Ovis aries: one gene and its partners. Each later gene encodes a partner of the first gene's protein in a complex. Links are inferred from orthologs where the notes say so. Each region holds a gene or a part of one and is shown on either strand. Other genes may lie near its edges.

Region 1 (4,236 bases):
TGGCTTGAGGGATGCACTCATGCTGGACTAGAAATAGGGAAGAAAAGGTAAATTAGACTCCAATCTCCAGAGAACTCCACCACATTTTTGCACCAGGCCAAACCCATTTCTCACCACTCAATTCTTAAGTAATTCTTGTCAATTTCTATACCCTCTCTCTGCTCTCTCAATCAAAGTGAAAGTGAAGTCGCTCAGTCGTGTCCAACTCTTTGTGACCCCATGGACTGCAGCCTACCACACTCCTCTGTCCATGGGCTTTCCCCGGCAAGAATACTGGAGTGGGTTGCCATTTCCTTTTCCAGAGGATCTTCCTGACCCAGGGATCAAACCCAGGTCTCACGCACTGTAGGCAGACGCTTTACCGTCTGAGCCACCAGGGAAGTCCCTCAAAGTGATTCCCAAATCAAGACCGTCCCAGTTTCTTCTAGTATCAGCCTCTTCTAACTCCAGGGCCCAAAGTCCTGCCATCAACCCTCTGGGCATCTACCAATCGGTCATCTTAGGTGCTCCTCTGTCCCAATGCTCCTTAATCTGTAACAATCCATGACTTTTGAGGGCCTGTCACAGGCTACTTCTCCTACTTAGATTGTCATGCTTTGGGTGACATAACTCTGCAACCTTGGGCAAAATGAAGAACCCGGTGAAAGTGAAGTTGCTCAGTCATCTCTCCGACTGTGACCCCGTGGACTATAGACTGCCAGGCTCCTCCGTTCATGGGATCTTCCAGGCAAGAGTACTGGAGTGGGTCGCTACTTCCTTCTCCAGGGGATTTTCCCGACTCAGGGATTGAACCCAGTCTCCCAAATTGCAGGCAGACGCTTTACCGTCTGAGCCACCAGGGAAGAACTTAGTACTTGACCCAAAAGACAGCTATCTTTAGACCAGCCATAAAGGTTTACAGAGACCAGAGGTGATTTGATCCAAGGGTCCAACCAGCTCCTCTTTGGAAATTTTAAATTAAAAGACAAAATTTAAAACAAGGAGACAAGGAGAAAAGCCACTCTAAGTTGCTTTGAAGTCACTAGCACTTACATACTATCATGAACAAAGACAAACCTATATAAACATCTTCTACTGCTGAAATAGGTTCTGGTACTTATTTCCTGATCTATCCTATATATAAAACTGTAAGGGACCATGGCTATTATCTGTTTTCTTGTATCCTTAAAGCACCAATGAGTACTCCATGCCCAACAGGAAATTTACCTTCTGATGGATGCTCAAAGCCACAGTCAACAATGGCCCGGAGCAACTCTGGCTTGAGCAGGAAGTCACGAAAGCCAGAGCTGTGGATGGAGACATAGGAGCCCTTGACATCCTTCTTGGCAGGGGCCTCAGCCCCATCTCCCCCAGCTGCCGTCTCCACCTCATCATCTTCATAATCCAAGAGCTCATTGTCCACATCGTTCTCCGCCATAACTGGGCCGGCAGGAAAAGGGGAAGGGTCTCCGGATGGGTTAGCGCAGAATAAAGGAAGACAAGAGGAGGAGAGTGGGGGCTTGAGGAACAGAAGAGGAAAAGAAACACACTAGTTTCTGACAGAAGAGCTGGGAGGGGGGAAAAACAGGGAGAAGACATCAGTCATGAGTAGAGCCTTCACCATCTATCCCGTCCATCCCCACACTCTTCCTTTCCCCAAACCGACACATGTACCTGGAAACAAAAGTAACAAAGGGGGAAAAAAAGTAACAAAAAAACACAAGACAAAGAAACAAAAGGTAAACATAACACACGGAATGGGAAAAGTGTGTTTCCCAGGAGTGACGATTAGGACATAGGTTCCCAAAAAGATAGGATCGGAGAAGCAGAAACCGGAAAGCTAGGAAGGCCAGGCCAGCTTCTCAATTCCTGCTCCAGGACAGCAGTAAGGATAAAAATTAAAGACACATAAAAAACAGACTGCTACTAACAATTTACAAGACTGGAGAATGTTAAGTGACAAAATGAAAAATCCTCAACGAAAGACCTTGTGCTTTCCCGATAATCTCAAGGTGTGGACAGCAGCCATCAGTCAAGGGTGATAGATTTACGGTCGTCATTGAGCAAAGCGCTCACTTTTCAAAATGGAAACATCATATGGCTGCCATCCACCTCTCCCAACACTCCAGTCTCCCACTCCTCAGACACCTCACACTCGCGCGTAAAAAATCCTTCGGCGGTGGTGGCGGAGGAGGGTGGGGGCTAAAGAATGTCTCGGCCAGAAGAAAAAAACCCACTCCTCCATCACTCCTTAGGTATGGCTCGTTTCCGAAAAACACACAATGACACCACTCGTAAACATTTAGGAAATGCTCCAAATAACGGTGGGCAAACCGGGCCGAGAAACGTCCAGGTAGGCCTAGAAGCCGGCTCCTCTTCCTATTCCCGCCGCGGACCGAGGACCCAGAAATAAGCGGGAAAGTGAGAAGACCCCGCCCTCCGCAAATACCCAGGACCAGAGGACGCCTGGCGCCGCCTCTCAATGTCACTGGGGCCTCGAGTAATCGAGGGGGGCCACCGAAGGAGCGAGAAGCAAAGAAAACACAATGGCGCCGGGGCCACCATCTTGGATTGGGCCCCCCTAGCTTCCCTACCTCCCCCCCAAAGTTTCTTCATCTCGAAAAAGATGCAAGCGATGGAACTAACGACCCAATCAGACTCCAACAACCAGATCATGGCCTGTGCAAGGGCTATCAGGAGCTCGTGCGACAGGATGGCCGCAGAGAAACGCAGATGGAGGCGGATGGTGCCGAAGGCCCAAAGCTTACCTGAGCAAGGCAAAGACGTATGGCGGCGGCAACAGCGACGAAGAAGGGAATCTGCCTTCACTTCCGGTTCCCGGTTTTCCCTCCACCCGGCCTCCCGCCTTCGCTGATGCGAGCGCGCAGGCGCAAAGAACCGGAAGACGGGCCTTCTACGGTTGTGTAGTTCTGCTCGTTCTAGGGTTGCCTTTAGAAAATGCCTGCGTGAAAAAAAAATTTTTAAGCCACTTCTTACCCTTTTGCTACTACCAGTAACAAAATGCATCAAGGAAACTATAATCCTTCCCATTGTTATCTTTTTTCCGCGTGTCCAGTTCTTTTCCGCGCCTCTCTCTTCATTTAGATTCTTGCCATTCAGGTCTTCTCTCTGGGCATCCCTCCTCTGGGCGCAGGAGGACCCAAGCTGGCGGGACTTCGATTTCCCACGGGGTCCTTGGCCCGGTAGTCAAGGTGACCTGGGGGCGCTGGCGCTGGAGTTAGGGAATGGCCAGCCCCAGGTGTAGATAGTGAATAGGTCTCACGGAACCTACCCCCTACCTTTTCCCCAGCCTTGGAACGGCATTTACCCAAAGTAATGGTTGGCTGATGTATCTGATGTCCTAAGGGCCGTGGGCTTGGGCTGTAAGTTAGGAAGGTGTTCTGAAGCCACTGCTTGCAGGACTGGGGGTCTAGATTCTGCCCCAAGTGTTAACGATAAATACTAGGGCATGAGGGTTACATGGTGGTGGGTTAGTCGCTAAGTCGTGTCAGACCCACCAGACTCCTCTGTCGATGGGATTCTCCAGGAAAGACTACTGGAGTGGGTTGTCATGCCCTCTTCCAGGGGATCTTCTCCACCCTGGGGTTGAACTCAGGTCTCCTGCATTGCAGGCTGGTTCTTTACCTACTGAGCCACCAGGGAAACCTGAGTGTTACGTAACATTTTAATAAATGTTATTTCAACCAGAATGTGCTTAACCCTTTACCCAATAACCCCTCCCTTGGTTCATCCTGGATATTTTTCCTGAATGAAACATTTGATATCTCCCGCCTCACTTTTATATGCTACAGAAGTCAAATGTGACTTAACAAAACTGATAACAAACGTTTGACCTTTTACCTATTATCACTTAACCATTTAACACCAAGGTGTACCATTATTCCCATTCTATATCAAGCAAACAGATTCAAAGAAATAAACATGTCCAAAGTAATACAGCTAGCAAGGTGACAGAGCCAGAATGGAGACACCACTTTATTCTCTACTGTATCCTGTCTCCCTGATTAAAGAGTGCTTAATAAATACCCTATAGATAACCTCACTGGTTCAAGGCTCGTTTTCTGTGGCCAAAAGAAATAACAGTGATTCAAGGATGATGTTACAGAAGGGCAGTTTTTCCAACACACAATATCTTTTTTTCAATAGCATTTATCAACTGCCAGTCCTGCGTCAAGTGCTAGCCTAAGATCTGGGTACATAGCAATGAACAGCCCTATCATCACAGAGTTCATTTAA
Region 2 (2,966 bases), on another chromosome or scaffold:
CCTAAGTCCTGTAAGGCTAAAAGAATTAGGTTTTATACTTCACCCCTTTTCTTTTAAGCTTGGGGGTTGGCACATTTTTCTGTAGTGGGCCAGATATTTTCATACGTTTTAAGCTTTGTAGGTACCTTTGTAGCATGAAAGGAGTCCATAGGTAGGAAGGACTTAAGTAAGGATCAGTGTGGCTGTGCCGTAAACACTTTACTTATAGAAAGAGGTGGCAAATGGACCACTGTTTGCTGATCCTCTGCTTTAAAGCATATATGAGACTAGAGCAGTCATGCAGATTCAGAAAGTAGTATTGCGGGATTCTCAGCAAGTTAAATTCTGTAACTTCATGGCATTCAGGGAACACCATGCCCCTGAACATTGCTAACTGACTTACACATATATAATTAACAAAAATATTCTGGCCATTTCCCCAACTTCTCCCCCTAAACCCTGAGGTCAGTCATCAAGAGCCAACAAACATTCTGTTGTTCGTGGAGCACCAGCCAACTGTACAACTGTTATAAAAATGTTTATTGTTTACCAAAACCAGTGGACCTCTTATCAAATGCTGCTTGGTAACAAAACCTTATCACAGTTTTAATAATAATAATAAAAGGACGAAGCTAACTGTTTGTCTCATTGTCATTAGTTAGACTTTCTGCAAGGTCACTTAGCCCAGACTTGTTGAGCGCGTTGATCAGGTTCTCGGGCGTTGCGTGCACTCCCTCTTGGTCCTGCCAGGCCACGAGCAGCTGTTTGGCTCTCATCTTCATGTCTTCGCTGTCGCACTCGATCTGTCTAATTTCTGAGTCTTTCATTTCCAAGTAAGGAGCCAGGACCTTCCACTGTTCACCCAGTTTGTTGGCAAATACCTCTATTTGGTCCCCTGTTACAGGTTTGTCTCGACGAACATCAGGACCTAGAAAACACAGGGGAAGTAATTACGAACAAAATGCGAGGATGTGTATGAGTCAAAGCCCATAATGGGACACGGGGCCACTCAGACTTCAGTAAGCTTGATTTTAAAAGTAGAACAGTTCCTTTTTATATTTCCCCTGGTTGAATTCTTATGATCATTAGGGATGTAAAACTAAAGCTGTTGCCTGTGTTATAATCATGAAGGTGCCTGTGTTATAATCATGAAGGTTTCCCCTGAAACCAGCAGCCCCCAATCTGAACCCCGAGAATTAAGAAGTATGAGGTGCATTCAAATGTAAGTGCTCTCCTTCCCAACACTTAATATTATTGTATAAAATGCACTATTGGAAAAGTTGTTATCAAGCAATGCTTTAGATTCCTCACTATAAGAAACAGAGCTGAGATAAACAGAAGTTGAGAAGTAGATCAAATAACGTACCTCTCAACAAAGAACCCCAATCTTTTCCAATTTTGTAAAATAGCCAAGAAAATTCAATTCTTACTTTCATTTTCCTTCAGTAAAGCATCATTATCTTCCTCATCTTCATCCTCACCTGTTTTTATTTCTTCAGAAGGAGGCTACAATGAGTAAAAGGAATGTCTTAGAGTACCAACTTCTAAAATCAGAGAAGTGCGGGTAGTTTGATCTTAGATAAGAGATTGCAGTTAAATGTTAAACATGAACATCAGGTAAGGATCACAGTGGGACAGTGTTAACCTGGAGAAGGAAGGACGGGGACAACCAGAGGTTGGAAGGACCCCCTTCACCCCAGCCTGGGAAGAAGGGAGCCAGTAGGAAGCCTGGTGCGATGACTTGCACGTGCCCAGCACATACGTGGTAACAACAATCTAGGGCAGACCGGGGACCAACCATGTGCTTGACAACATGCTCTGAGTAACTGTTGGTTGCTTGCATACAGTATAGTTATTGCCATATTGTATTAGAAAAGAGAACAGAGTAGGAAGATAGACCAAGTTGCCTACCCCCACCCCATGGGCCCTGCCTGTGATAAAGTAGGATGCATTGACCAACAGGAAGAGTAACCAAAGTATAACAACTTAATACAGCACGTGAAGTTACTTCACCAGTTTATGTATTGATACTTCCTATAAATGAATACTCAAAGGCATTTCCTCATTCTGAAACAACGGGGTTTGTGGATCATATTTTTTCCACATGATCAAAGTGAAATTCAGCTCTTAGCTCAAACAGCAACAGTAGTTTTACAAAAGAAGAGAACACCAACTGAAGGATAAAACACTCATCACTCCTACTTACTGGTAATTCCTTGGCTAGCTTTATTACCATGTTTTCGAGATATTCTGGCAAACTTTTAAACTGCTGGTTGGTTGGCTGGAAGAAGTGAGGGCTTCTCCGTGCTAACAGTCTTAGGGCTCTCCAACCATAATTTGAGTTGTTCACAGCCCTGTAAAAAGAGACATCAATCTTGTGATTTATATAGTTATTTATAATTTTTATATTCTCTTCTAGTTAATGTACTTAGTTCACCAGAAGAAACTCTACACTCAGATCAGTAGCTGAAGGCACCATTCTTCTCACACTGACCGTAGCCCTAAAGAACCTTTCAGCATGCAGTTCACTTACAAATAGAAACCAGCAGAGTCCAAAGGGGCAGGTTCATAGGCAGCAAATGCATTTTAAAAGTTTACAGACATTTAAAGGTCAATTAGTAGGCGTCCAGGACTGGCCAGATGCTGTGTGTGCAGGACAGATGCCATCTGCCTCACCACTTACAAAGACAGTCAGAGGCTCACTGAGTTTCTATCCTCACTGGCAGTGCTGCCTGCAGCTGTGAGCTTCAGAATGTTTTATAAACCCAACAGATTTCACCCTGTAATGTACTATCTGCTTTTTAAAGAAATTTATATAACGTTCAAACTTTCATTTGCTCAGTATCAACCTTGGTGGATAGGACACAGCCAGTAGTCTAGACCGTAAACACCGACACCAAGAACAGAATCTGCCAGATGCTCCACTGTGGCAGTAACAGGTGGTACACAGTATGGCAAGAAAGACTAGAGATCCTGTTCCAGAAATC
Region 3 (3,076 bases), on another chromosome or scaffold:
GTTGCCATTACCTTCTTCAGGGAATCTTCCCAACCCAGGAATCAAACCCAGGTCTCCTGCATTGCAGGAGAGTTCTTTACCACTAAGCCACCTGGGAAGCCTAATAGGTATTCATTTTTTTGAGATGAATGAGATAAATCCATGAGTAGATGAATAATGGGTGTGGATGTGGACACCGATTCATACATTTTGTGGGAATTTGGATATCTGGGCCTGAAGGTGAGGAGACCTTGGAACTGATGGTATAGATTTTGGACTTGCTGGAGTAGATAGGATTATTGAGAGAGGTGCATACAAAGCAAGCTGAGAAGAGAGCTAAAGACCGAACAACGGACACAATTGCTGTACTTGGCACATTTTGGAATTCATTGGTCCCGTTAGCAAGAGCGGCTTCAGTGACGTGACAGGGGTGAAAGCCAGTTCATACAGGCTGAGGAATGAATGGGAAATAAGTAAAGAGAGACAATGATTTCTAATTCTTCAAGAAACTTGGCCATGAAGATGAAGGAAAGCAGTCCATAACTGGGCTGGATTGCACTGTTAAGGCAGGTTCTATCATTGTTTTTAAAAAGAGGAGGGTCTCACGTAGAGGGACATTCAAAATAACTGTCCTGTGCACTTTAAAAATGTCACGGTCATAAAACACAAAGAAAGACCAAGTGTTGTTCCAGATTAAAGGGGACAAGAGAGTGAGAAGAACTGAATGCTATGCAGGATCTTTTGTGGGAAGGACATCACTGGAACAAGTGGCAAAATTGAATAAGGTCCATAGATCAGATGATAGTATTATATCATTGTTAACATCCTGGTTTTGATAACTTTATTGTGATTATGTAAGAGATGTCATTTTTAGAAAGTGCCTATTTTAGTATTTAGAGGTAAAGGAACATCATGTCTGCAACTTACTGTCAAATGGTCCAGAAAAAAGCTTACACACACACACACAAATGTCACAGCAGTCAGGAATCTTTTGGTATTATTCTTACAATCGAGAACTCTGGGATATTTTTGTAAGAATTCCTACATTCTTTTCTATGTCTGAAGTTATGTCGAAATAAAAGCGAAAGAAAGAGAGAGAAAGAGAGAGAGGAGGGTCCTTTCATGGGCAGCCTTGACTGAGATAAGGCTCATCATTGTACTTAAGTTTTCTTCTGCAGGGACCAGCTCCAAGGTTACCCTCAAATTGCTAGTGTTCCCTTCCTGACCATGAGTGCCAAGGAGGATGAGCCCCACAAAAACCATCAGTACAGTGACCACCAAATACTTTACATTCTGTTAAAACACTACTAAGAAAGATTTTCACAGGAGCAGATCCTGGCCCCAGGAGACCTTTACATACTTACTTATGTATGACGACATCTTTTTGCTGCCCTACTCGGTAGATTCGGTCACAAGCTTGATCTTCAAGTGATGGATTCCTGTGAGAAGACAGGTTTTGAACTCAGGGGAACTGATATCCTCAACAAGGGGCAGGCAAATCCCACAGGCCAAATCCAGCCTGTAATCTGTCTCTGTATGGCTCTTGAGTTTGAAATAGTTGTTACATTTTTAAAGGTTTGTAAAAAAAAAAAAAAAATTAAAACCAAAATCCACAAAAAAGAATATGTGACAGAGACCTATGTATCTGCAAAGCCTAAAATATTTATAGAAAAAGTTGGTAGATCTCTGTTCTAGCGTATGCGGGGCTTGGAGACTCCCAGATGTCTTCCTCCCCTCTCATGAGAAACTGGGCTCAGATCTGCCTCCAACAGGAACTCTTAGCACCACCATCAGCTGAAAACTATAGGTAACAGAGGCTAAAGTGATGCTCAAATCCAATCATTAACTAGCTGGATGACTCTGGGCAAGTCATCTAACCATAACCTAAAAGGCTTGGGAATCAGAGGGCTGGCAAATGATCATTAATGCCTTTATCTTTTTTAAGATTTTTTTTAACTGTGGACCACTTTTAAAGTCTATATTGAACTTACTACAATACCGTTTGCTTTATGTTTTGGTTTTTTAGCTGCAAGGCTTATGGGATCTTAGCTCCCCAAACAGGGATTGAACCCACACCCCCTGCGATGGAAGACAAAATCTTTTAACTACTGGACCATCAGGAAAGTCCTCTCTAACGCCTTCTTCAACTTTTAACTTTCTATGATTCAAATAAGGAGACTTAATTTGTTTCCTTCTTTCTAGATTCTCCTTTTCAATTCCAAACTAGTTTCTCATCTCACCTCTTTAAAAACTTGAATAACATTTCTCCAATTCAGAAGCCAGCATGATTCCAATTCTGCTTTCCTCATGTATGGGGGTGGGAGGGGTCCCAAGTAAGACCTAAACACATTCTCCAGGAAGACAGCAACAGGTGGGCCTGTCTGTGCCCATCTGGCTGCCTGGAGAACAAATGACAATCCCTGGCAACGGTGCCTGGAGCAGCAATCCCTAACTGGCATCATTGAAAAAGCAAAACTGGGACAGATTATGATACTTTCTCCTAGCAACACACGAATCATTTGCTTCGTACCTAAGAAGGACGCTGCTATGCTCCTGGTGTTGACACTATGAGTGGTGAGTCCAAGGCTACGTGTTAAGCATGTATCTAACATAATTAGAAAATTTCTTTGCCTTTTCCTTTAGGAGTAATGGTTCTCATTCTTTGCCAATGCTGAGATTTCCTTGGACTTCAACAAGTATGTCTGAGATACGGTGTTTTGAAGAGAGAAAACTCTTCGTTGAGTGAAGTAGCTCTTAGCCATGAGAAAAAGCCCTACTCCCAGTTTCCATGGAAACAGACATCAGGTTAACAATAAAGTGAAGAAACTATTTTAAACAGTCATTTGAATCCTTCCTTGGTCAGGAATACAGGGCCATCAACTCAGCCTACACCATTTTGATCTGTATCTGTACACACGTATGCACAGAGGCACCTCCACAATACGAAAGGAACACACTCATATGAGGTCAGGTTTTACTGCCCCTCTGGTCTCCCTGCGATGCAGGGACAACTCAAGAAAAACCCATAATTGTTACCAGTGCATGTCCAGAAGAAAAAGATGGTTTCCTCCAGTCAGGTTTAGACCGACACCTCCAG

What was found. The genes of interacting proteins can lie anywhere in the genome.
Region 2: DDX39B (region 1) and THOC1 share a complex: the UniProt entries of both Homo sapiens proteins name them as parts of the transcription/export (TREX) complex. The link is inferred for Ovis aries from reciprocal best matches to the Homo sapiens genes DDX39B and THOC1.
Region 3: DDX39B (region 1) and TTF2 share a complex: the UniProt entries of both Homo sapiens proteins name them as parts of the spliceosome. The link is inferred for Ovis aries from reciprocal best matches to the Homo sapiens genes DDX39B and TTF2.

Annotation. Positions count from the first base shown.
Region 1 is NC_056073.1:26,828,457-26,832,692, reverse strand, and holds the start of DDX39B (spliceosome RNA helicase DDX39B), read right to left. Parts: upstream 2,801-4,236; 5' UTR 2,574-2,800; exon of another isoform or gene 1,911-2,573; intron 1,548-1,910; 5' UTR 1,418-1,547; coding exon 1,207-1,417; intron 28-1,206; coding exon 1-27. UniProt on the Homo sapiens protein: Involved in nuclear export of spliced and unspliced mRNA. Component of the TREX complex which is thought to couple mRNA transcription, processing and nuclear export, and specifically associates with spliced mRNA and not with unspliced pre-mRNA.
Region 2 is NC_056076.1:35,627,473-35,630,438, forward strand, and holds the end of THOC1 (THO complex subunit 1), read right to left. Parts: intron 2,334-2,966; coding exon 2,186-2,333; intron 1,486-2,185; coding exon 1,410-1,485; intron 908-1,409; coding exon 612-907; 3' UTR 501-611; downstream 1-500. UniProt on the Homo sapiens protein: Component of the THO subcomplex of the TREX complex which is thought to couple mRNA transcription, processing and nuclear export, and which specifically associates with spliced mRNA and not with unspliced pre-mRNA.
Region 3 is NC_056054.1:94,512,640-94,515,715, reverse strand, and holds part of TTF2 (transcription termination factor 2), read right to left. Parts: coding exon 3,016-3,076; intron 1,419-3,015; coding exon 1,344-1,418; intron 1-1,343. UniProt on the Homo sapiens protein: DsDNA-dependent ATPase which acts as a transcription termination factor by coupling ATP hydrolysis with removal of RNA polymerase II from the DNA template. May contribute to mitotic transcription repression. May also be involved in pre-mRNA splicing.